Oreochromis niloticus: one gene and its partners. The protein of the gene in region 2 purifies or fractionates together with the protein of the main gene of each other region. This does not show direct contact. Links are inferred from orthologs where the notes say so. Each region holds a gene or a part of one and is shown on either strand. Other genes may lie near its edges.

The links.
Region 1: the proteins of chd1l (region 2) and xrcc1 purify together in Homo sapiens (affinity purification with mass spectrometry; 3 studies listed by BioGRID and IntAct, counting the BioPlex papers as one, with this or other methods). This does not show direct contact. The link is inferred for Oreochromis niloticus from reciprocal best matches to the Homo sapiens genes CHD1L and XRCC1.
Region 3: the proteins of chd1l (region 2) and aplf purify together in Homo sapiens (affinity purification with mass spectrometry; 4 studies listed by BioGRID and IntAct, counting the BioPlex papers as one, with this or other methods). This does not show direct contact. The link is inferred for Oreochromis niloticus from reciprocal best matches to the Homo sapiens genes CHD1L and APLF.

What each region holds. Positions count from the first base shown.
Region 1 is NC_031976.2:28,706,032-28,713,714, reverse strand, and holds the start of xrcc1 (DNA repair protein XRCC1), read right to left. Parts: upstream 3,440-7,683; 5' UTR 3,013-3,439; coding exon 2,962-3,012; intron 2,864-2,961; coding exon 2,771-2,863; intron 1,532-2,770; coding exon 1,424-1,531; intron 1,338-1,423; coding exon 1,179-1,337; intron 827-1,178; coding exon 749-826; intron 1-748. Other genes in the region: myelin-associated glycoprotein, read right to left, coding at 4,656-4,811, 4,905-5,070, 5,163-5,265, 5,546-5,818, 6,622-6,885, 6,967-7,278. UniProt on the Homo sapiens protein: Scaffold protein involved in DNA single-strand break repair by mediating the assembly of DNA break repair protein complexes. Negatively regulates ADP-ribosyltransferase activity of PARP1 during base-excision repair in order to prevent excessive PARP1 activity.
Region 2 is NC_031986.2:36,236,070-36,244,083, reverse strand, and holds the start of chd1l (chromodomain-helicase-DNA-binding protein 1-like), read right to left. Parts: upstream 3,129-8,014; 5' UTR 3,003-3,128; coding exon 2,909-3,002; intron 2,690-2,908; coding exon 2,577-2,689; intron 2,420-2,576; coding exon 2,313-2,419; intron 2,227-2,312; coding exon 2,115-2,226; intron 2,007-2,114; coding exon 1,975-2,006; intron 1,450-1,974; coding exon 1,368-1,449; intron 1,280-1,367; coding exon 1,117-1,279; intron 934-1,116; coding exon 778-933; intron 1-777. Other genes in the region: sft2d2a (SFT2 domain containing 2a), read right to left, coding at 4,273-4,312, 4,416-4,445, 4,524-4,582, 4,688-4,723, 6,112-6,193, 6,296-6,381, 6,621-6,710, 6,800-6,865. UniProt on the Homo sapiens protein: ATP-dependent chromatin remodeler that mediates chromatin-remodeling following DNA damage.
Region 3 is NC_031971.2:41,343,850-41,351,337, forward strand, and holds the start of aplf (aprataxin and PNK-like factor), read left to right. Parts: upstream 1-4,070; 5' UTR 4,071-4,111; coding exon 4,112-4,204; intron 4,205-4,927; coding exon 4,928-4,999; intron 5,000-5,304; coding exon 5,305-5,468; intron 5,469-5,791; coding exon 5,792-5,957; intron 5,958-6,396; coding exon 6,397-6,526; intron 6,527-6,616; coding exon 6,617-6,786; intron 6,787-6,871; coding exon 6,872-7,119; intron 7,120-7,488. Other genes in the region: cnrip1a (CB1 cannabinoid receptor-interacting protein 1a), read right to left, coding at 144-322; fbxo48 (F-box only protein 48), read right to left, coding at 1,253-1,414, 2,309-2,611. UniProt on the Homo sapiens protein: Histone chaperone involved in single-strand and double-strand DNA break repair.

The DNA of each region.
Region 1 (7,683 bases), on a different chromosome or scaffold from region 2:
ACTATAACACAGTCACAGGGATTATTATTTAAAAAATTAAAAAGATGATGGCATTGAAAAGACACAGAATGGGCGAATGAACCTCAACACTTCAACACTTGTCACCATTCGTCACCATCAGTTGCAAAAAAACCAGATGTGATGAGAAGGGCAGCGTGTCACAGTGCAGTTTCATACCACAGCTAATCCTCTATTTTGAAAGATAGAATGACCAGACTAGAATTTTTGTTCATTCAAAAACGAGTCAGCGAGCTCATAAACTCAAGTGTGAGGTTGAGACAGAGAAAGCCGTTGATGCAGCCTTCTATAGGCCTGGAAGTCTTTTTCAAAGCACGTCAGAATTTTTCCGATCCAAAAGCTATGTTCATATTTCTTACTGTCTATGAGTTAAATGGAATATTATAATAGAATATTAGGCTTTGTAAAGGGTAAAGTACAGTAGCTTGTCTGTGCACTGATGACCCCGTCACCGCTTATCCTTCCTTGGACAACTTTTGATAGATACTGACCCCTGCAGACTGGGAACACTCCACAGGAGATGTACCATCACCTTGTCAGACATCCCACTTGCTCATTTTTCCTCCGTTTAACACATCAACTTTGAGGGCAGAATGTTCACTTGCTCCCTAATACATCCCACCCACTAACATTTGCCATGATGAAGAGATAATCTGTCTTATTCACGTCACCTGTCAGAGGTCATACTGTTTTTCCTGATTGGTGTCTGTGGTCTCAGTGGAGTACTTACTGGGGAGGAAGTTGGAGGAGGATCATTTTTGTCAGGTGGTGAATGAAACTTAACAAAGGCAAGCCCATATGCAATATTCTATAAAGAGCAAAGACAGATTCACATTATATTTGCATCAAAGAGACACAATTCAAACTCCATTACAACTTCAAACAGCCTCAACAACAGGATACCTGAGACAAAGGATCTGGAAAGATGATCTCAGTGCTTATATTTCATTGCACAACAAAGTTACTGTAACTGGAAAACCACACAGCGCTGTTGCTTGCAATTACATTGCTTTCATTTGACACTATGCACCAGGTCCCGTTCCACTACTGTATTCAGACATTGTCATCATTCCATAAACGGCTTCAGTCTTAAACATAGATACATTTGCTAATTACAAAGGGCTCGTCATATTACACGTCAAACACTCTTAGGCTCTTACCTTGCTGTATGGCTGGCTACACACAATTTTCACTTTGTCCCACTTCTCCTGAGCTGTGCTCTTCTGCAGCTGGTTGGGCCCAAAGAAACGCACACGGTTCATGTTGGTGCCACTGCGGCTCTCCGTGGGGGACATGAAGGAAGACGTAACCAGGAGAACCTAAAACAGTGAGATTAAAATCAGACTGGATGAAATGAAGTCAATATAGCATTCAGGAAGTTAATTTAATATTTTTGTAAGAATACCTCATAGTCCTGATCTCTGACAGCTGAAGAATTCCCCACCAACACCTCAATGAAAGCTGAACCTTCATTTCCAATGTCAATGCTGTGCACCTGCTCTTCCTTTTCAAACTGAGGAAAAAAGTAAAAGTTGCATGGTAATACTTCTCAAGGAAGCACAGGACACACTTCTAAAAGAGATTCTTAATCTCAAGAGCTGATGTTAAATAAAGATTGAAAAAAAAATCTATTCTAAGGCAGAAAGTAAAGCGAGAGAAGAATCAACACACAATCTACCCGAATGAATCTAAAACCATGTGGTACTGGCATTCAGCTCTCTGATCCCTGCACAATAAAGACAAATTCAGCTTTTTCGAGATAAATGGAAATATCGCCAAATTTGTCTGTATGGTAAGAAAGACATGATTGATAACAAATAAAATGTTAAAAGTACCTGGATCTATCTGTATACGATTTTATTTGGTGATGTACCAGATAAACAGATTATTTAGAGCAACTTAGAGCACAACTTAGAGATTACTTAGATCATAACTTTAAATATGTTTGATCATCATTATCTAATAACAGTAGAAATAACTTTATTTAATAGCACCTTTCAAAACAAAGTTACAAACCGCTTCAATTCAGTTCAATTTGATACATACAGTGCCAAATCACAACAACCCTCACCTCAAGGTGTTTTACATTGTAAGGTAGATCCTTCAATAATACATACAGAGAAAAACCCAACAATCATATGACCCCCTATGAGCAAGCGTTTTAGTGACAGTGGGAAGGAAAAACTCCCTTTTAACAGGAACAAACCTCCAGCAGCCATCTGCCACCCCTCCCTTCTTCACAGGGCAAGATTGGAAAAAAGCTAAAATAAATGATTACTTGGAGAAAGTGATAAAACAATTATGAAGGACAACAAAGACATAACTGAAGGTGAGGGTACAGAAAGCATCTTTATAACATATGAGCACTTAAATACTTTTAAAAAGTAAAAACAGAGATTTGAAAGATGATTGCGAGCTTGCCAACTGATCTTTTCAAGGAGACTGTTCTCAGTCGTGATTGTGGGATTGGCAGCAGAGACAGTGGACCAGGTTATCCGCAGGGGCGGTGACACAAGGTCTGAAATTCACTTTATAATTATAATTTGTATGTAAACTTCTTTTAGTGGAAAGAAAGCAAATATAAAAAGTTTGTTTAAATTCATTAGATTGTATGATTCTCCCAAAGTTACATGTGTGTGGTTTAGTGTTTGTGTTATGTGCCATCTAACTAATATCGTCAACGACAACTCACATGTTATTGAATTAGTTTGCTGTCACTTGAACACAAAAAACAAAAACAAAACAAACAAACCTGCAGAATGACTGATATCTGCTTCTCCCCGGGTCTGGCTGCTTTCCATTTTCTGTACGTGTCAGAGCTCAGCAGGTTGTCTGCCTTGTGTGTCTGTTTTTGTAACACAACATATGTGAGTATGAAGCAGCCTCACAGCTCAGCTTTCTTCATACAAATCTCACACAAGTAATACATCATACTGAACTTACAGAGTCCTCGGTGCTGCACGACACGACGTGCTTGAGTTTGATTTCTGGCATATCGTTGTTGTTACTGATGATCGTCAGGCTAAAAGCTGATCGATTAGTCCACTGATCACTCACATAAACCAAACGGGCGCGTGCCTCCCCACGAAGCGATCGCAAACGGCTAACAAGTCATAAAACACATCCAGTTTCTCTCCACTGGAAGTGATTTAATCCTGAAAGTTTAATTTCTTATTAGTCAGATAAGCGGCTGACTAACATGTTAGCATGCTAACAAACAATAGGCAACTCTCCTTGATGGTTTTGGTGATTTTAGCACACCTAAAGGGCTGTTCCTCGTAAACTGTTCACAGCGTTATATGCATGACATATATCCGTTACTCTGCTGTTACAGAAAATTCATACTGTAGATTTTGATTATGAGTTAAATGTGCGTGAAGGTGCACACATTTTCCCACCAAAAGCCTGTAAACGCCAGGATGTGACGTACCTTCCGACTAACAACTTTTCTATCCAATCAGAGCTTTATTTTCTTCTTCTGTGATTTAATTGTTGTGTCACTGAGGTTTATATTGCCACCAGTCGGTCACCATGTGAAGAGACATTCAAACAGAGGACTTGCTCTTGAAACCGTTTCAAATCTGGTGCAGTTTATCTCTTTTGTGACAAAATATACACTTTTAAACGTCGTGAGCAGATAGTTTAAGATCTCAGAGCAGGAAGAATGTACATTAGATTTCTGAATTCATAGTCTTTCAGCTGTCAGTGTTCGATAACACCATATCTCCAAAATTATGCATTACACCAGCAACAAAAAGAGCCCAATAATAGGTTTTTGTTTTTAAACTGAGAGTGCATCATCAATCAGCAATATACACATAATTACAGTTGTATAAAATTAGATAAGAAAGCTCTAGAAGATGTAATATAGGCAACGTTTGTACAGACCAGTGTAAATAAATGTGCACTGATTCAGTATGCATACAAAAAAAGTGAAGAAAAAAAGTTCACAATCAAACATGTAAATAAATTTGACTTTTCAAATAGATGAGCATGAAAGGAAGGATTCTCTGCATTATTCTTTTTGTTGTTTACAATTGAACTCTTGAAATACATATACTCAAGTGATGAACACTATGGGAAATTAGTTGAACAATAGCCATAAAGTAGGCATTAAAGTTCTAAGACAAGAAAAACTTCCAGGTATGCTTAACACAACAGAGTCACTGCTGATGTAATGAATGTTATACATTTCATCACAGCTGGAGCAGCTCTTTGTCCTTCCAGAGAAACTTTAAAAGCTTCCTGAGGATCACTTTTGTGCTCCAGCTGCTTTTAGAAATGCAACTGACTGGTCTGGTCAGACTACATCAGATTTGAGGGTCTGTTTTCTTTTTTTCCTCAAGGGCTTCACAGATAAAATGATGAAAACTGTTTCATCAAACCTTTTCATCTCTCCCTTTTTTTTGAAGAGCAAAGCACATCTCTGTCACTCGATGGCAGAAATTGTTCAGTTTGGAAACTAGAAGAAAGATAGACCTACCACAGATCAGAGTGCATTGTTATCAAATGCAAATGACATATATATATACACGTATCGATTTGCACTGTATGCAATATCCTGAGAACTAAAGAAACATTTGAATAACAACCAGTATTAATCCAGTGTACAATGTAACTGTAATTTAGCTTTGTGCTTAGAGAATCTCCAGGTAGATGCCCGTCTCTGCATCTTCCACAGCTGTACCCTGCACCTCTCTTACGCCTCTGACTTCCTGACCAGCTTGTTGGTTAATTCCTCCACCTGGTCCAGGTCTTCGTCTCTCCCCACCTCTCCTGCCCATTGGACGGATCTAAAAAAGGAGAGCAGCTGTTGTCACTGGAAGAAATGATTTGGTATTTCCTCTGGACAAACTGTCCACTGAAAGATCAAGGTTATCAAATACCTGCTTAGTGCGGACAAAAAGAGGCGTGCAGTTCTGGTACACAAGCTGGTAGCTGCCATTGGTGTAAACATGAGTCACTTCTGTGCAGTTTATATAAAGAGGCATCCTGTCCTGATAAATTTCCAATCCTCCAGGGTACATGGTGGGATGTCTTCTTAGAATGTGCCTGAGAGAAGCAGAACAGGTATTCGATAGACTTGATAATTAGGCGTGACACAATCCAAGCAAACTTTTAACAGGAAGTGTTTCTGTACATACTTTCTAGCTCTCTTTTTGCAGTAGTAGACAAGAAGGGCCAGGAGGAATATGACCAGGACAACGGTGACAGCAGGTAAAATCAACCACAGGAAAAATGCTGTCTCTGTATGTGGACCACAAGAGCAGCAGAGGATCAGCATATAGTATCCCATCACTGGATTATATCAACTTCAAACTTCAGTGCAAACAAGAAAAATCAGATTTTCCAATCATAGCTCAAGAAAATTATTTGGTTTTCTTTGCAGCTTCTTTTCTTCTACTTGTGTTTTTAAGCTGCAGGCATGCTGCACAGAAGTTTCAGCACAAGCAAGACATCAGAGTGAATAAACAAGAGGCAGGGCTGTTGTCTTTCTTAGTATGGAAAAGCAGTGCTTTGAACACACCTTCTTCTCCCTGCAGCAAGACCAGCGAGTCGTTTCCCAGAGCGTTGAAAGCAAAGCAAATCACCTTCTGAGGTTTTTCCATCTGCCCTCTCAGAATAGCCGTTAGCACACTGGGCTCCGATGTTACAGACACGTTGTAATCTTGAGGTGGAACAGACCCATTAACGCTCCAGGTGATTGCAGGTTTGGGGTTGGAGTCGACCAAACACTGGCACACGACCTCTGAATCCTCTACAGTACAGGTGGAGGAGAGCTGGATGATGGCTGGCTTATCTGGAAGAGATAATACTGTCATTAGGTTCTCAATAATATTTATGAGGATATGTCTACACAAAACACAGGGTCTAAGGATTGAAAGGCAATTTTATAATTTTTTGAATGGGTTGCATGAGAAACTTGACACACATAGTACTTGACATATGTAAAAACAACAGTTCATTCACTATTTATTGGCTGTGATTAGTGTCTTTACAGGCATTGCAGACTGTTTGGTCAGTGAAATCAAGTAGATGCCTGCAGAAGCTCCACATTTAACTCTGTGTAAGACAAACTCATTGGGATTTAATTGTCCTGTTTATCATCCAGTACACATAATAGTGCACTGAATGATAAACAGTTTTTTTTTGCCCTTTATTTTCAAATCCATACTGGTTAATGTATAATCACCTGTTTTTTGTTGCTCTCAATGGCTGCTCTGCAGTCTATCTACAGTTTGCTCAGATCTTCACACAACAAAAGCTTATTTTCTTTCCCTTATTTTTGTGTTCCAGTCATGGACTAACCTACAGACACGACTGAAACTTAACAATTGCTTTTCTCCTGGGAGAGTTCAAAGTTCAGATTTCAGTTTTTACTTGTCAGTTGGATTTGAATTATGCACCTGTAGTTGTTTTATTTTCCTTTTATTATCCCCCTCGTCTGTTTTTATCATGCTCATTTTTATACTTTTTGAACCTTGTTAATTTGATGCCAAATAAGTGCCTGGTTAAATCAAATCCTGTGGTTTGGTTAGTTGGATGCAACCTAACAACACGTATGTATGGGATGCAGAGAAGATCAAGAAGAGGTAGAATTACATTGTATATTAAGAGTTGTGGGCCGAGATTCTCCTCGGCCAATCAGGTTCTGAGCTGTGCACTGGACCCTCATATCTCGAGTCACGTTGTACAGCCGGACTGTGTGCGTTCGCTGATGGAGGTGCACAGTGCGGCCATGTTGACTATAGGACCAGTGGTACTCTGTTGCTGGAGGGTCAGCCTTACATGAGCACATCAGCAGTGCATTGCCCCCCTCCTTCACTGTCAGGGTCTGGACTTGAATCTTCACATCTTTCGGAGGAACTAAGAGCATAAAAGGCAAAAAGAAAGGTTTTAGCTTACTGACCCAAGAAACACAAATACACTAGTCAAATCTATACTTACACGTCACATGTAGGTCCTTCAAAGTGGATAGTGTTTTAGGACCTGGGAAGATGACCTGACACCTGAGCTTGGACTTCACCTGGTGTGTTACAGTGAAGGTCAAAGAGGCCAGTAAAATCTTCCTGTGGGGATCTGGGTAGAGTGTCGTTACTTCCCCAGGTTCAGTTATGTTCTTCTGGGCTCCTCGCTCCCACCTCCACTGCAGATCAGGCAGTCTGGAGGGGCAGTGGTAGTTGACAGAGCAGTTCAGGGTGACCAGTTGTCCTTCTGTGGCTGACATGATGCCACTGATGACAGGAGCTTCAGGGGTGTCTGCCAAGAAGGAAAATCTCCATCATTATGGTTTTGACACTTTAGTGTATTAAAAACATAAAAATCATACAAGCAAAAAGACGAATTCTCTTACAACGACCATTAGTGCTCGAACTACTGAACAAGTCTACTCATATGTGATAGAAACAAGACTGTTTAATTAATAATCCCATATTTCTTCTTTTGTGTTTTTCCTGTACTTGATATTGATTCACCCCCAAACAGTTAGTCAGGCTTCTTCCTGTTAAACCGGAGTTTTTCCCTCCCAATCTCATGAAGTTCTTACTAATATGGCGCTGTGTGATTGTCAGGGGCTTTTACCTTACAATATAAAGTGTGTTGAGGTGACTGTAGTTGTGAATTGGTGCTATATAAATAAAATTTGAATATTTATTTATAAATGTA
Region 2 (8,014 bases):
GCAAAAGGTCAGTAATATTAGTAAATACTAGGGATGTGTCCACAAGCTAACTAATCATCGCTGCTGTCACTAATCGGTGCCAGACTAATCTAACTGTTAAAATTTTAATTGATGCCCAATGCCGGTAAATTATTGTGTCCTAAATGTTATGCAGCCATCTGCCACCAGATGGCGCGTCGTTGTCAAGAAACGCAACAAATCTGTTAATCTAGGCTTTTATTGAAGTGACATGATAAATGGTTTCAAATGCCTTTGTTATGAGTTTTTGACAGTTCTCAAATGTAACTTAATACCCGAGTGTTTCTTAGTTGTAGACAAGTTGGTTAGTCTCATTTTTGTTCCTCGTTTAGTTGACTAATAAATTAGTCGCCAGGAACATCCCTAGTAAAACTAGTAAACTAATAATAAAAGCTATGAAGCAACCATAAGAGCTCAGAATATTCGTGCCTTGGGGGGCCTTGATCACCTTCAGGTTTATTCATCGACTTTGGAACAGACAAAAAAATAGCACATTTCTCCTACACAGCTGGAGGCCAGACCCAGAAGTACTTTAAGGTGATGAGTAAAACCTTAAAACCAACTCTAAAATAGAGAGAACTGATAGAGAGAAGTCAGGATTTAGTGGCCGTTATGCCAACTGTAAAAATCAGTGAGAAGCTGAGCTGCTGCTTTCTGAACCAGGTGCCTTCTTGCTAATGCTGTAAGTAAGAGGCAAGTAAGTACTGCAGAGAAAATGCATTTATAAATGACACAGCACACCAAGTGCCCAAGTCTCACCCAGATCCTTCATCAGAACAGCTTTGTAGTATTTCTTCTGCAGAGCGGACATGCCATGATAAACCACCAGCTCGGTTTTCTTGGGCAGATCAACGGCCACCTGAGATTTGACTCTACGGAGCAGGAAGGGCTCCAGGATGCTTTGGAGCTCAGCAGCTATAAAAGGAATAAGATTCATGGTTAACTTTCCTACAGTGCATTACTGTACTGTACTTTTTTGTGACCAATATCTCACCCATTATATTTCAAAACGTTTACTTGGATATGGAGAGACGCATAGACTCAGAAATAACACTGAATGTAAGCTATGCTTTGTTATGCTATAATTATGTACCGTACCCAAAGCAGGCTGACTTTGTACATCGGAGTAAGAGTTGACAAAGCTGTCTGTGTCTTCTGGTATAAAGATGCTGGGCTGGATGAAGCTCAGCAGGGAGTAGAGCTCCTGCAGGTTGTTCTGAATGGGAGTCCCTGTCAGCAAGACTCTGAATCCCACGGAGAACTACAAGAGAAGAACACAAACAAACTGATTTAAGAGGTCAAGGGAAAGCCAATGAAGAAATCTGCACAAACCAGGTGTTGCTCAGTACCTCTGTCAAAGTTTTGTGCAACAGCGAGTTTTGATTCTTCAACCTGTGAGCTTCATCAACCACAAGCACCTTCCACTTCCATCTGAGGGAGAGATCAGGGAAATATCAGCACATGAAAACTTTGTTCTCAGTGAACAAACCTTTTAAATAGACCATTATTCTCTTCCTTTTCTTCTGTCACATATAATTTGATACAAAGGTGGATTGCTTATATTAAAAATGGCTCACGTTTAAAAGAATGATCCCTCTCTAATAATCTCTGTAGATTACTACGGACACACAGGCTTCAGACTAATATAAAAGCTTTGTTTTTGACAGTTTTTTCTAGTCTTGGTTTTGTAGTGTGGCTGGCATAATATGGTCATCTCAGGCATACAGGTCGCTAACCTAGATAACTGCAGTTTAAGCCGATCTTACTGGGTGAGGGACAAGAAGAGCCGACACAGAGTGATCTAAAAGCAACATCTCTACGGATGCTGGTCCTTTTTTTCTGTCACCTCTTGCTTAAAACTATATAAACTTGTATTAGGACACCACAGTTAAATTTTCCTCACGGTACATTGTTTCCAGAGCAGTTTATGCAGAACAAGAATAAGCACAAACTCACCGTTTCAAGAATGATGCATCTTTGAGACACAGCTGGAAATAACAGTTAAAAAAAAACATATATCAGTTTTAACAAAGGTGAAACCTTATCCTGTTTTGTAGGATGTACGATTTTTGTATGTTGATAAAATAGCCTCAGACCTCATATGTAGTGAGAAGAACATGGAAGTCCTGAGAGTTCACCTCCTGCTGGATCTCTGCCCGCCTTTCTTTGTCTCCTTTGTAAACCAGGACCGTCAGTGAGGGAGCGAAGCTGAAAGTAAGGCACACACAGGTTTACAGACCGTGCTAAAAGCACATTATCAAATGAAATGCAATCACTGGTTAATGTAGCTCCACCTTTCCAACTCATTCCTCCAGTTCTCCAGGACAGAGAGTGGGCTCAGCACCAAAAATGGTCCTTTCTTCCCGAGGGCCCCTGACATGTACACCAGCAGAGAGATCGTCTGAAGGGATACATGATGATCAGGACACCATTAGACTTTTTAGAATCAACTTTTGTGCCACCCCCAGTGTAACAGATGCTCCAAGCCTGACCACCTATATAAAAACTGTCCAGCCATGCCACAGCTCTGGATTACAGGTAAACAGATGATGTCATACCTGGCAGGTTTTGCCCAAACCCATTTCGTCTCCTAAGATGCATCCCTGCTGGTTCTTCAGGCACTGAGTTAACCAGTGCACACCGTCCAGCTGGTAGGGTCTCAGCTGTATCCCTGTGAGGAGAAAGCACACAGATCATCACCGCTGGAGCACGTTTAAAATAATCCCTGGAAATTATATGTAGGACGGCGCTGAAAGTGGATTAATCTGCGTCTAAATCCGTTTAGTTTGTATCCACAGTAAACGCCATGTCACTGTGAATGAATGAAGACACCCTGAAGTTTGTATGTGCTCTGCAGGTCAGTCGTCCAGGTTAAAAATAGCCTTTCTACCTCTCAATCCCCATTTCTTCAGGTCACTTTGAGCAACATCCGCCTTCTTTTTCTCCGCGATGCTGTTTTTTATTCTCACCAAAATGTCCGACATGTTTGCTGACCGACAGGACTACAACTTATACGAAAGACGACTTTATGACAGAAATGTACAGGCATGCGAGTTCCCACTGTTGTTTTCATACAGTTTACGCTTCCTGACTGGGTCACGTGACGCTACGGAAAGGCGCGCGGTTTTTTAACTTCGCCAAAAGTTTGTTTTCTTTCTTGAGCAACGCTCATTTCTTTATATTTTGTTGGGAAAATGGGAAAAATATGCAAACACAAATGCAACTACAAAATATAAGGGGAAAACAGTTTTTAAATTCTAAAAACGGTTAAGAATTTGCACATTTTACAAACTTTGGCTTTTTGTGATAGGTCAGTAGTAACTAAGTGCCTGATAATACAATTTAAAGGTGCTTTGTTTGCTAGAAGTCACACTGGTTCATCTCTGAAGTCCGGGGTCTTTTTTATGCTTGAATTACCCCACGAGCTCAGAAAACAAAAGACATTCCTCTTTAAATGGTAGGGCTCGAGGACTGGACTGAAAATGAACGAAAAGGAGGCCAATGTCCAACGAAAAGACTTTAAAATTACAAAAAAAAGGCTCCTTAGAAACAAAATAATAAGAAAAAGTCCTAAAAGGTCCACAAATAGATAAGTGCTTTGGGTTTTAATGTGAAACAGATTTTCTGACAGTTTATTTTTGAAAATAGAAACAAGAACCAAAAATATAAACTTGTACTAAATGAGAGATAATTCCAGATAACTAAAAATTCACCATTAAAAAAAAATGCATTTTGCATATTATAATATTAACAGGACCAACAATCTAACACACCTGCATTAAGAAAAAGTTCTGTTCATACCCTTGTGTAGTATCGTGATGACATAATTTAAGTACTGATTAACTATTTGAGCTTCATATTCAAATACCAACACAATTTAAGATCATAAGAACTTTTAATAAAAATAGATTTTGTCTCTGAGCAAGATGAAAAACAAAACCAACAACAATAAATGTAAAAAGTTTAAAATTTTGATTTATTACAGATATTTACAAATATTACAAACAAAGTCTACAATCATCATAAACTGGTTAAATTTGAGTGCTCACCAAAAATTAATCAGATCAATCAATGAAGCACAACTGAGAAAAATAAATAGAAAATTTGCTTCTTTTTCACCTATAAACAGATGCCTGAGCAGCAGGAAGGGTCAGAGACTCTCTAAGGGAGCCAATTTTAGTAACTTCAGTAAGAGACCTGCCCCATTCTTCAACACTTCATCCAAGCTGAACCTTCACCCCAAACACACATGGCCTATTTGATGAACATGGCCAGCATCCTCATGATTGCTTCCCTGGAAGGTAAAGAACATAAACCAGACATTTAGGCTTTGAAAACCACTTTTTTTCTAAATATTTACATAGAAGATTTGAATAAATGGAGCAAAATCTACAAACCTCACACATGGGATGTATGACAAGCTGTACCTGAAAACACACACATTTTATGTAACCAAAAAAATTTAAGACTGAAAAAAATTAATTAAATATGAAGTAGAGACTCACCAGGTAAATGACAAGACTTGCAAGATAACAAACAACAAAGCAAGTCCAAAGTTCTTCCACTGTGAGAAAAAGACAGATATTGAGATCAAACGCTGAAATTTATTCCAGCAAATACACAGATCAAGTTAGAAGTGATCATAAGTATTTTTTGGAGGCTCACTCACCCAGAAAGCCGCACAGAGAGTCAGAACAAGGCAAGTCTAAAGCAATGACAGAGAGACTTTTAGCTTTAATTTGAAGGGTTTTAACAAAAGTCTGCGCAAACTGTTTTTGAAGTACAGCCATTTTTGTACACAGCCCCTCATTTTCAGGCTTTCACATTAACTGGACAAACTAACATAGTTGTAAATATAAGGATTGTTTAATACTTTGATAAAAATCCTTGACTGCTTAAAGTCTAGAAACCATGGATATTACCAAATGTCTTGCTCTGCTAGACCTTTACTTCTGCTGCCTTTATCTACTCCTAGTTTGTGAGTCTTTCTGCATTCAGTTATATAGTTCATAACTGAAAAGCATGCTCTATTGGTTTTCTCATTTCTTTGCCTGAGAAACTGTTGGGTTAGTGTGCAGTTTGCTTTCGGTCCATTTGCACTGTGAAGTGCAGTCTGGTCAGTTTATACCCATGTACACTTCACAGGTCATCCCGCAACTTCTATCAACAGTCACATGATCAATAAACACCAGTAACCAAGTTGCACTAGCAGCCATACATGCCCATGCAATAACATTGCCTCCATCATGTTTCACAGATGATGTGGTTCACTTCAAATCATGAGCAGTTTCTCTCCTTCTTTTCCTTTCCATTCATTCTGGTAGAAGGTCATCCTGGTTTCGTCTGTCTTATATTTTCTGTGGTCTTCTTTTAGGCTTTTTGGTTTTGCTGAGCAACTCAGTGCATTCCTTCTTTTTATGACTCTACCAGTTTGCTCATTTGGCTATTCCTATAGTTTTTGGTTTCTATCTGATGTTTTGTTTCAGCCCAGTGATGACCTCCCTCACTTGCACTAACATCTCTTAGGGCCTGTTAGTTAACTATAATACCCTTGCTTCCAGTTGTATATGCCAGAACTGCAAAGTATGATGCTTGGGCATGACGTAGGTAGGTGACATGGCCATGCTCATAACCATATTAAAGCTGAGAAAATCTTCCGATCTACAACACAGGTGTCAAATTAGTGTCTGATTTAATTATTTACCTACATGCAGTTTAAATATTTGCACACTGAGCCTTGCACTGAAAGAAAGAGGGTGGTAACCTAATTGCACCTGCTGTGGGACATTCTGAGAGCAAATCTTCCATCACAACAAATCTTGTAGTTTTAAAGAGATACGTATGCACATCAGCGTCTGATTTTTGTCAGTCCATCCACAACCAAGTTTTCTGAACTCTAGCTTGGTGTTGTCATGCAATCCTCTAAGCAGAAAGCTGTGTTATGCAATCCTTTCACCTTTAACCAGCTCTTGAACTCTTAAAGAAAACAGATTTTTTGCAATGAATCTAAATTTACTGAACTCAGTCCACTCATGTTTGTGTAACATGTTCTGTCTTTTGGGGGTTGATATTTTTTTTTTTTTTTGCACTTACCAACATAATTGTAGTAGCCAGCGCTCTTGTTTTGTCACACATCCTTTTCAGCTGCTTCATTGGGCCCATCAAAAACATTGTGCTATCGGACACAGTGAAATGTGCAAGAAAGAAAAGCATATATTAAGTGTGTAAAACATGCAAAATAAACTTCCCATTTCAAGGAATTTTTTCCATCACTAACCTGCACAGAGCACATATGTTGCCAAACGTGTAAAAGACAATAAAGAGAGTGATCCCAATCTTGGGGAGGAAGAGCGCACACACTCCCTGCAAGACACGTGAATGCAGGTGGATCACACGTCATGTTTTATAAGCCTCACTTTAAGGAGGGACTAGGCAGTGTCGCCAAATGAATGAGCATCACATCTTCAGCATTCCTCAGAGCAAGAAGAACCAGTAGGGCAACACCAGCTTTCTCTGAGCTCTTCCTCGTTGTGGAGAGCGACTGAATATTGTCGTAGAAAAAAAAACAAAACAAAAACCCCCCACAGAAATTAAATTCTTACCAGAACTGTGCATGCGGCTCCCACCACGAAGCAGGCGATGAATCCCTTTATACGTGTGCCCCAGCCTAAAGTCGAAGCTTGGTTCACTTGCTGCATTAGTAGAAATTGAATAAACGATCGATTAATGATCCAGCTGAGATTAATAGCCACAAGAGTGAAAGATGGGATTAGGGCTTTACCTGTATAATGTTCCGGTCATCTCTGCGCGCCTCCTCACCGCTCAGAACCGATTTTAATTTATCCATGCCCGAGGAGCCTTAAAATTCGGCTTAATTGGTGAAGAATTCTAGTTGTTTCCTGAACTGAGAGGAACTTTGCCGGGTCTTCTCAGATCTGTGTGAATGGACAACAGCGTCACTCGCCAGCAGAGGGAGAGCCGAAAGAGCTGCCAATACCTTACCTGGCCAGGTGGGTCACTTCATCTTAGTCACACCTGAACCGGAACAGCAGCAAAGACGTCTCACTCTGATCTTTTTTTCCAGACGTGACTCAGTGTTAGAAACATTTAAACGCACCACCCAGTACAGCCATGAGTGAACAAGAGGGTCCAGATACCACTTTTACTTATTTTTTCTGAGATATTAAGTTTTCGGTTAAAAGCATCACTGTAAAAATAACTATACAAGTTAAATAATTGTTTTGATTCCCCGTAATATCCCGCAAAGTGGTTTGGTCCATCGTATATAATTCGCTAGCTCCTTTACTTTGTAAAGCTGGGCTTAAAACAATTTATCTACTAGTTAGTGGTAGAAATAAGTTGTTACACCTCTCTTGCATTTCTGAATGAATTGATAGAAATAATCAAATAAAGCGCCTTTTGGGTTGTTCTTAGTATTTTAACACACCTAACTGCTTGTCATACCTCCATTAAATGTGCAAAGACTGTCACACAGAGGCTCAATTTTTTAATCTTGTCAAAATAGAACATCTTCGTTTATCCCTCTCGTCAACAGATGTTTTGTGTTGTCCTGCCCTGACAAAAATAAATCTGCACAAGCAGTTTACTAGGACTGATCATTTGGTATTAATGTGATTGTGTACTAAAAATCACGGGTTCTCAGGCATTTTAGGGCTAGTAGTAGTAGTCTTAGTATTTGAACTATTAGACACTACTGAAACTTTAATCCTGGAAGTTTTCAACCCACACAGCTCAGACAGGGGAAACTTTATGTTCTATAATCGTATCAACAAGAGAATGGGCCTGAGAGCAAAGGACACAGTAACTTCCCTTTATTGGTAGAAACCACATCCTTTGCAGTCACCTTCATAATAATTTGTCGCAAATTAATTGATAATTTCAACGGCCCTGTCTGAGAGCCACTGATAGATGGTGGTGATTATGGATACATGAATAAAGAGAACCAACTTTAAAACATATAAAAACGTAAAATTCG
Region 3 (7,488 bases), on a different chromosome or scaffold from region 2:
CAGGTGTCGGATGCTGCGGCCTGCAGGAGGAGCAGGAGCAGCCTGCTCCTCATCATCACCTCTTGCAGACGTTCTTTATCATTTCTCGCACATGCGCGCTGGCGTGCCGCACACACAGCAGCAGCCTGCTCCGAGATGCTTACGTGGCCTCGACGTTTCCAGGCTTCAGCACCACCTCGATCTTGTACTTGGAGCCCGTGAGCAGCTTGATGGTCCGGCTCTGGCCGAACCGGGTCCCGTCCACCTTGAAGAAGACCGGGCCGTCGTTGGGCTGGATCCGCAGCGCGATGGAGATGTTGATGATCGGGGGGACGTCGTCCATGGCGCCGAGCTCAGGGAGGGGGAGGCGGACGGGTGAGAGAGATGCTGAGGAAGGACCAGAATCAAGCTGCACGCTCACACGGCTTCCGGTGACAGCTGCTTTCAAAATAAAAGACTGCAGCCGCAAATAGCAAAGCAAATGTCGGGGGCGGGGCTAGGAAAAGTCAATAAATGTCACAGGTGGGCTGTTATTAAAAAATAAGTTCATCTGAAAGTCGGGAAATTTGTAAAAGGTTAAAAACAAAAGAACGACCAGTTTAATGAAGAGCTCTCGAAACTGATTATAAAGACATAAAACAGGTTAGACAGAAAAATACAACACCTGTGCACGCTCAACATGACGTCACAGGCAGGAAATGTGTTCACATTTGTGTCAACACATTTTGAACACAAATGTGTTCAAAATATGTTCACACCTGCCAAACACTGCCCCCTGGTGGCCAAAGCAACATCTTTGTTACCTTTGAGCAAAAACGTTAAAAACAGATAAACACAGCTGATTTAAGTAAACTTGAGTTTGATGTTCCTGCGTGTCGGTAAGCTGCAGGTGTGCATGACTTTATGCTTTTATATTTCTGCTGGTCTGAAATCACAGACTGTCACACTGATTTCTTTGTGAGTCTGTGTGGCGTGCTGCGTGTTTGCTTGATGGGAGAAGCTGTGATGTGTCATTAAAAAGAACCGAGTCAGCACAACCTCACAAAGATGGTTTATTGTATCATCGTCATATTTACACGAACCCAAAACTAAAAGGCTCAAATTTAAAAAAAAAAAAAAAGTTTCACTTTGTTTCTCTGTGATTTTTTTCTATAAAAAAATTAAAAAATATGTACAAAAGTTTGCGTTTCCCGTGAAACACAAACTGCAGGGGGAATATATTAGAGTTAAAAATCAGAAGTGCTCGAGGTGCTTTGATAAAACCGGAACGACGTCATCGATCCAGCTCGGCCTCCAGGATCTCGCCCCAGGTCTCCGCATCCAGCGGCGTCAGCTTCCTGCCGCTCAGCTCGTCCGCCGACCTCACGTGGCTGAACCGTCCAATCAGCCAGTCTTTCTTCACACGGCTGCGGATGTAGTTCCTCACCAGGATCACCTGAGGACAGGAAACGGTCAGAAAACAGTTGTGCTGTTTCTGGGTGACGCTAGTTTTATAAGCTGGACTAAAAGCAGTTTTTAATAATGGCATTAAAATAAATGGCTGCAGCGTGAGACGTCTGACATGTGGACAAGTCTTCACTCCGCTCTGTTTCACAGTCATTACTAACAGTTGTAATGTTATGAGTATATCCAACACTTCAGTGAGAACAGCTGGAACATCTGCTACAGTCACAGGTTCTGCCCTTCAGCAACCTTCCAGCAGAAGCCCAATCAGAAGAAAGCTGATGGCTCTGACAGAGCGGCTTCATTCCATCAAAATAATTCCCAGCTGACTCTGTCATGTTTGCCTAAAAACTATTCCAGGCCAGGGATCCAATTCTTCGGGGAAATTATTCAAAATTTCAGCTCAAACAAAGGGCGAGGTGTTCTTAGACATTTTTCCAACAATATATTTTGAGGGACTTAAAGCTTGAATATGAAAAGGTGGTCTGTCTTCAGCGTGACGTTCCACGGGTGTGACACCGTGGACCAAACCTAACTTTATAGAAAGTGTCTGTGAAAACTGCATCCCAAGTTTGTGATGCTTTTTGGAATATTCAGGATTTAATGTGCATAAATCAACTCAGCTGATATGAAAACCTGGAGATCAAATCTCAGCTCTGACCTGCAAACCTGCTGACACAGGTCACATGACCTTCATCGGCATCAGATCCCTCAGAAAAACATCGATGGAAAAATGTTTAAAACCTCTGACCTTCATCCCTTTTAGATTAATGACAGCAGGACCTGAAATGAGCATAATTCCTGTTTGAAGCGGATCATTAACCTGGAAAAGGTTCAGAAGAATCTGAGATGTTTTCTAAGTTTAATGACATAATATGTTAGGAACCTTCCAGGAGAGGCCGTGTCTCCGGTCGCTGTCGACCTCCCTCTGGCAGATGGCTCGGACCATCAGGCACTGCTTCCTCCACAGCTGCTCGCTCTGCTCGATGATCTGATGCCACAGCCTGCAGGTCCTCGCCGCGCTGCACAGGCTCGTCGCGTCCAGCTCGCCAAAGATCCTCACGGTCATTTCTGTCGGCAGCGTCTCAGCAAAGTTGCGAGGTGGGGCGGTGCCTTCGGCTGCCGTCAGGGCGGGGCTTCCTTCACAGAGAAAAAACACTGGTGGAGTCCTCCCACACACATGCTGCATAATAGAGTCAGACTGAGTGGAAGAGCCTGAGGAAAGAGAGCCGACAACGATGGAGAAATGAGTCATAGATTCCACGTAAAGACCTCAGACTGTTTAACTCACACTGTGGAGGACAAGTTAAGGATGAAGAGAAATCACAGTGAAGCCTGAGATTCTTCATCAAAGCACCGACATGTTTCAAAGTACAGAGGCAGGAAAAGCGAAATAAAATGCAGGTTTAAAAAAAAAAAAAAAAAAAAAAAAATAGAGTAAAATAATTACATCACAAAGACATAAATAAAGAATCGGGGGGGAAGAAAATATCCCGAAACACCCAGAGAGAGACAGAAAGATGAGATGAGAAAAAAGACACAAAATCACTGAAATGAGCGAGAAAAGAAAGAAACGGACCTCAGAGAGAGTAATGACGCAAAGTGCCAGTAAGGAGAAGATCAAGCTGCTAAATAATGAAGGTTTCACACAAAATAAGCAGAAAAGAGCGAAACGTTTTGAAACAAGGACACAAAGGCCTGTGAGATGTAGATGAACCAGAAAGATTCCGTGCAGAGAGGCGTGACGAGAAGGTGAAGGGCTCCCACGTCAAACCGAAAGAGAAACATGAACAGTGGGGTCCCCACGGACCCAGCCTGGAGACGTCACCCAAACACAAACTGCTTCCTGTCTCTGTCTTCAAAGCTCAGCGCGTGATAAATGTCCACGTTATTACTGTCCTGTGTGGCCCTGCAGAGGACTAAGCTCTAGTTTTGGCCGACGCTCTGATTTTTAGTAACAAAACCTGATTTTAATTCTTCAACCCGACGACTCGCCTCCGCCCCTGCTAACAGCTAACAGCTAATAGTTCATGAAAAACTCCACCGGCCGCTTCCGCTTTCAGACCGAACACCGACTTTAACTGGGAAACAGACCGTGCACGTGTCCCGGTGTGTGTGATAAGAACGCGGCAGCGCGCGAGAGAAAACCGGTGTCTTACCTTCCGTGAGGTCTCTGACAGACAGCTCACACGGTTTAAATGTCCTAACGGATGTTTACAAATGTACGCTACGTCATCATATTTTGATTTTTGGCGCATGCGTGCAAGGCATAAACGTCCGTTAATTTAAATTTGAAAACAGCTGAATATATGATTTTCTTAATTTTCTAATTATAAAATTAAACTGTAAAGCATTTCTTACTCTGCCGTGCTACCGAGGTTAGCACAGGTAAGGTTAGTTTTATTTTTTTTAAATGAAGATTAATAAAAGATCAGGGAGATTCTGGGCGGAGTTCGGTGAGTGAGGTCAGAGACTCAGTGCGCACGCTCCGCTCCGTCCCGGAAGTTTTGAACGGTGCTGCTGAACTGAAGTTGTGTCGGCGCTGCTGCTCGGTCCGGTTCCCCTCCACACTCCGAGAAGCTGCTTTTAACCTGAAACCTTTTGAATTGTCGAAGCGTGGCGCTGCTCTCTGTTTTCCTCCACGTTCCTCCAGCGGGGTGCAGCTGCTTCCGTCCGCTCTGCCGAGCCGATGTCTGGCTTCGACCTGGTCCCGGTGGACGGCGGGGATCCGGTCCACCTGCCACCCGGAGAGACGGTGTTGGGCCGGGGCCCGTTACTGGGAGTGAGTCCTCCTCTCCTCTTCAGCCTGGAAACATGACCGCGGATCATTTATAGACTTCTGCTCGTTACAGCTGCACATGATCTTTGATCACGTGATAAATCCAGAGAAGCTTAGCTTCACTTAAAAACATGATTTAAAGCCCATAACTATCAATAACAAAGTGACCAGACGTGATCAGGTGGATCACTGATCTGCTGACGCAGAGAGGGCGGGGCTTCATAAGCTAGCACCTTGAACTTTGACCCTCCTCCGTCCTCCTGCCAGTTCCTTAAAATACAATAGGAGGCAACAGGATGCTGCTCAGGTGTATCCTTTAAAACAGGGGTGGGGAACTCCAAGCCTCGAGGTTTAGAGGTGTCCTTCATCTATTCATTTAAATGCCCTCCAGTTCTCCAGAGGCCTGGTGATGAACTAATCATCTGATCCAGGTGTGTTCACCCAGGGTGAGATCTAAACCCCACCCTTGCTTTATAAGGCTACAACTGGCCACTGTGCAAAAATCTTGAGCCACCCATCATGTCTGTATAATTTGTCGAGGGTGTAAAATTTGACCTCTTCCTGTTTAAAAAACAACTCTCTTGTTTTTCTGTCTTTGTTCTGAGACCTGGTTTGCTTCCCTTCATTCATCATGGCTGAGCTCGAGTCTGTTTGATTTATTTAGAGTAATACTGTAACAGAAACAGCCGGAGACGTCTGTAAACGCTGCCTTGTTTCCCGTCTCAGATCAGTGATAAGCGAGTCTCCAGACACCACGGGCTGCTGGAGAACCTGAGCGGAGAGCTACGCCTCAAAGCCGTACGTTCGTCCTTCCTCCTGTTCCTGAATGTGAAGCAGGCCACAGGTTTAGGTTTAGATTTTGTTTCTTATTACATTAGCTTTATTACATAATCATTTTATTATTCAACATTATTAATAAATATAGAAGTCTGGTTGTTTTCCTTCATGTTTCATATCATAGAAATCTCCCTTTTGCTTTAAATTCAGCCTTGGTTCCTGTTGCTTTGGCAGATTTTTAATTCCATTATTATTGTTATTATTATTATTATTATTAATGTTGTTGTTTGAGTTTCGGTTTAACCTCCTGCTGTTTCGGTCCTCAGACACACCTGAACCCGTGCTTCATTCAGTCGACCCCCACCAATGACCCTCGACCTCTGCAGAAAGGTTCCTGGCACGTCCTCCGTCATGGAGACTTCTTCTCTCTGCTGCCGGGTCGGTTTATCTACGAGGTGGTGTCAGTGGGCGGAGACGAGCGCACGCCAAGGTACTTCTGACGTCTGAAAAACGCTCCTTTCTGTGCTGATGTCGGTCGAGACAAAGACTCGAACCGTCTCGCTGAATAATGAAGGTGGAGGCTGCTCTCAGGTAACGAGAGCTCTTTTATCTGTGCGGGCTGCGCCCTGCGGGGTTAAACACTCGGTCGGAACATTAGGCACAGCGTAGGTTTACGTTTTCTTTTGTCCTGGAGCCGTCGTGCTCTTTGAAGTTGACATCAAAGTTAATGCTGATCAGCTCAGTTAAAATTCACGCTGAGCTTCCAGCTCGCAGCGTTAAGGTCTCACAGAAGTTAACATTTATCTGCATCAGTGTCGCTCCCCACAGGAACAGCCAGATGTTAGAAGAAGAAGAAGAGACACTTGCTGTTCCTCCTGATCCAGCTGTGGATCCACGTCCAGCTGTCAGACTGAACCAGGAGGAGCCGCCGCCGTCAGCAGCTCCGGAGGAAGACGAGGAGGCCGAGAGACCGTTCAAGGTAGGCTGAACTTTTCAGAGACGAGAAACTGCTGGAAGACTCCTCAGGGGGGCGGGGCCTAAGAGTGACATCAGCAAGTGTGAATATTTAATCAAGGAGGCGCTTTTCAGAGTGCAGGGTCAATGTGATGTGACAGAAACATGAAACTTTAGAATAGTTTATTTAAAAAAAAAAAGTTTATAAATGAAGTTATGACACAAACAAACAGATCAACAAGTACAACAAAAAACACACTGACAGAAATCATCATCAGAACAGGAATTATTGTAATAATAAAGGAAACTTTGGTTGACAGCAGATCCTCCCTCGTTCACCAGGGGGCGCCACAGCAGACAGCTTCACATGTTTGACCCCACAGTGGGTGTGTCAGTGGCTCAGTGGATGGCAGCGTGGAAGTGAGCAGCCAATCAGTGAAGTCGTCTCGTTGCGTTTCTTTCAGGGTGACTCGGTGGGATCGGCGAAGGATGATCAGCGAGACGCCGCTCCGTCTGTGACCAGGAGAAGAGTTTTACCTGCATGGATGCTGGTGGCTGTACCTGCTGCAAAGACTCCGTCCTCCACCCCGACAGGTAACAAGACCCGTCCTGTGTTCCCTCTGCCTGTAGGGGGCGCCCTTTCTGATCCTGTCACTTGTTATTTGTTTGAAAATGTCTGTTTAGTTCGGACCTGCCGACCTGCAGCGCCATCACCTGCCACTAAACGAGCAGCTGTCGCACAAGCCACGCCCACAGCAACCTCCTCACCTGAGGAGGCGGAGTTCAGCAGGAAGGAGGAGGAGAGGCCGAGGAAGAAGAAGAGAAAACTGAGTGATGACGAAGAACAACCTGAGGTAAGACCTGTTGAGCAGAGTTTCTGTTTCCAGGTTTAAACTCCGCCTCCTGACCTAAGAGACTAATATGTCCTCTGACTTTCAGGAGGCCGCCGCCCACCATCCGGCTAAACCAAACAGGTCTGAGGACAGCGGCGAGAACGACCGCTTCACCATGAAGGCGGAAGCGGAGGACAAAGCAAACGAGTCTGAGAAAGAGGGCAAGATGTCTGAAAACAACGGGACGTCTAAACGAGCCGAGCCCGCCGGGTCGAACGGAGACGCCGAGTCCAGCCCCGCCCCTTCCAAAGCCCGAGTCAGAACGCCGTGTCCGTACGGGAAGGACTGCTACAGGTACGACACTGAAACACACGCAGTCACAGGCTGAATTTATTCTGACAGCTTTTGCTTTGATGTCTCGTTTCCCTCTGAAGACGAGCTGAAGAGGCGAGTCAAGAGCCTCTCGTAGCCCCGCCCCTTCACCATCTCACAGACTCAGATTAATCCTTCAGATTTCACTTTTAGAAAAATCTTTGAAACAAGGACCAGCTGTCGTCACTGCAGTGACTCCCAACAGCTGGTCCCAGCCCATGGTGTGGTGTAGTGCTGGGCGATATGGAAAAAATATTTATCACGATATGAATTATTTTATATCACGATAACGATATATATCACGATATACCACCTGACCTGTGGTCATCTGGAAAGTATGCAGTCTGTAAA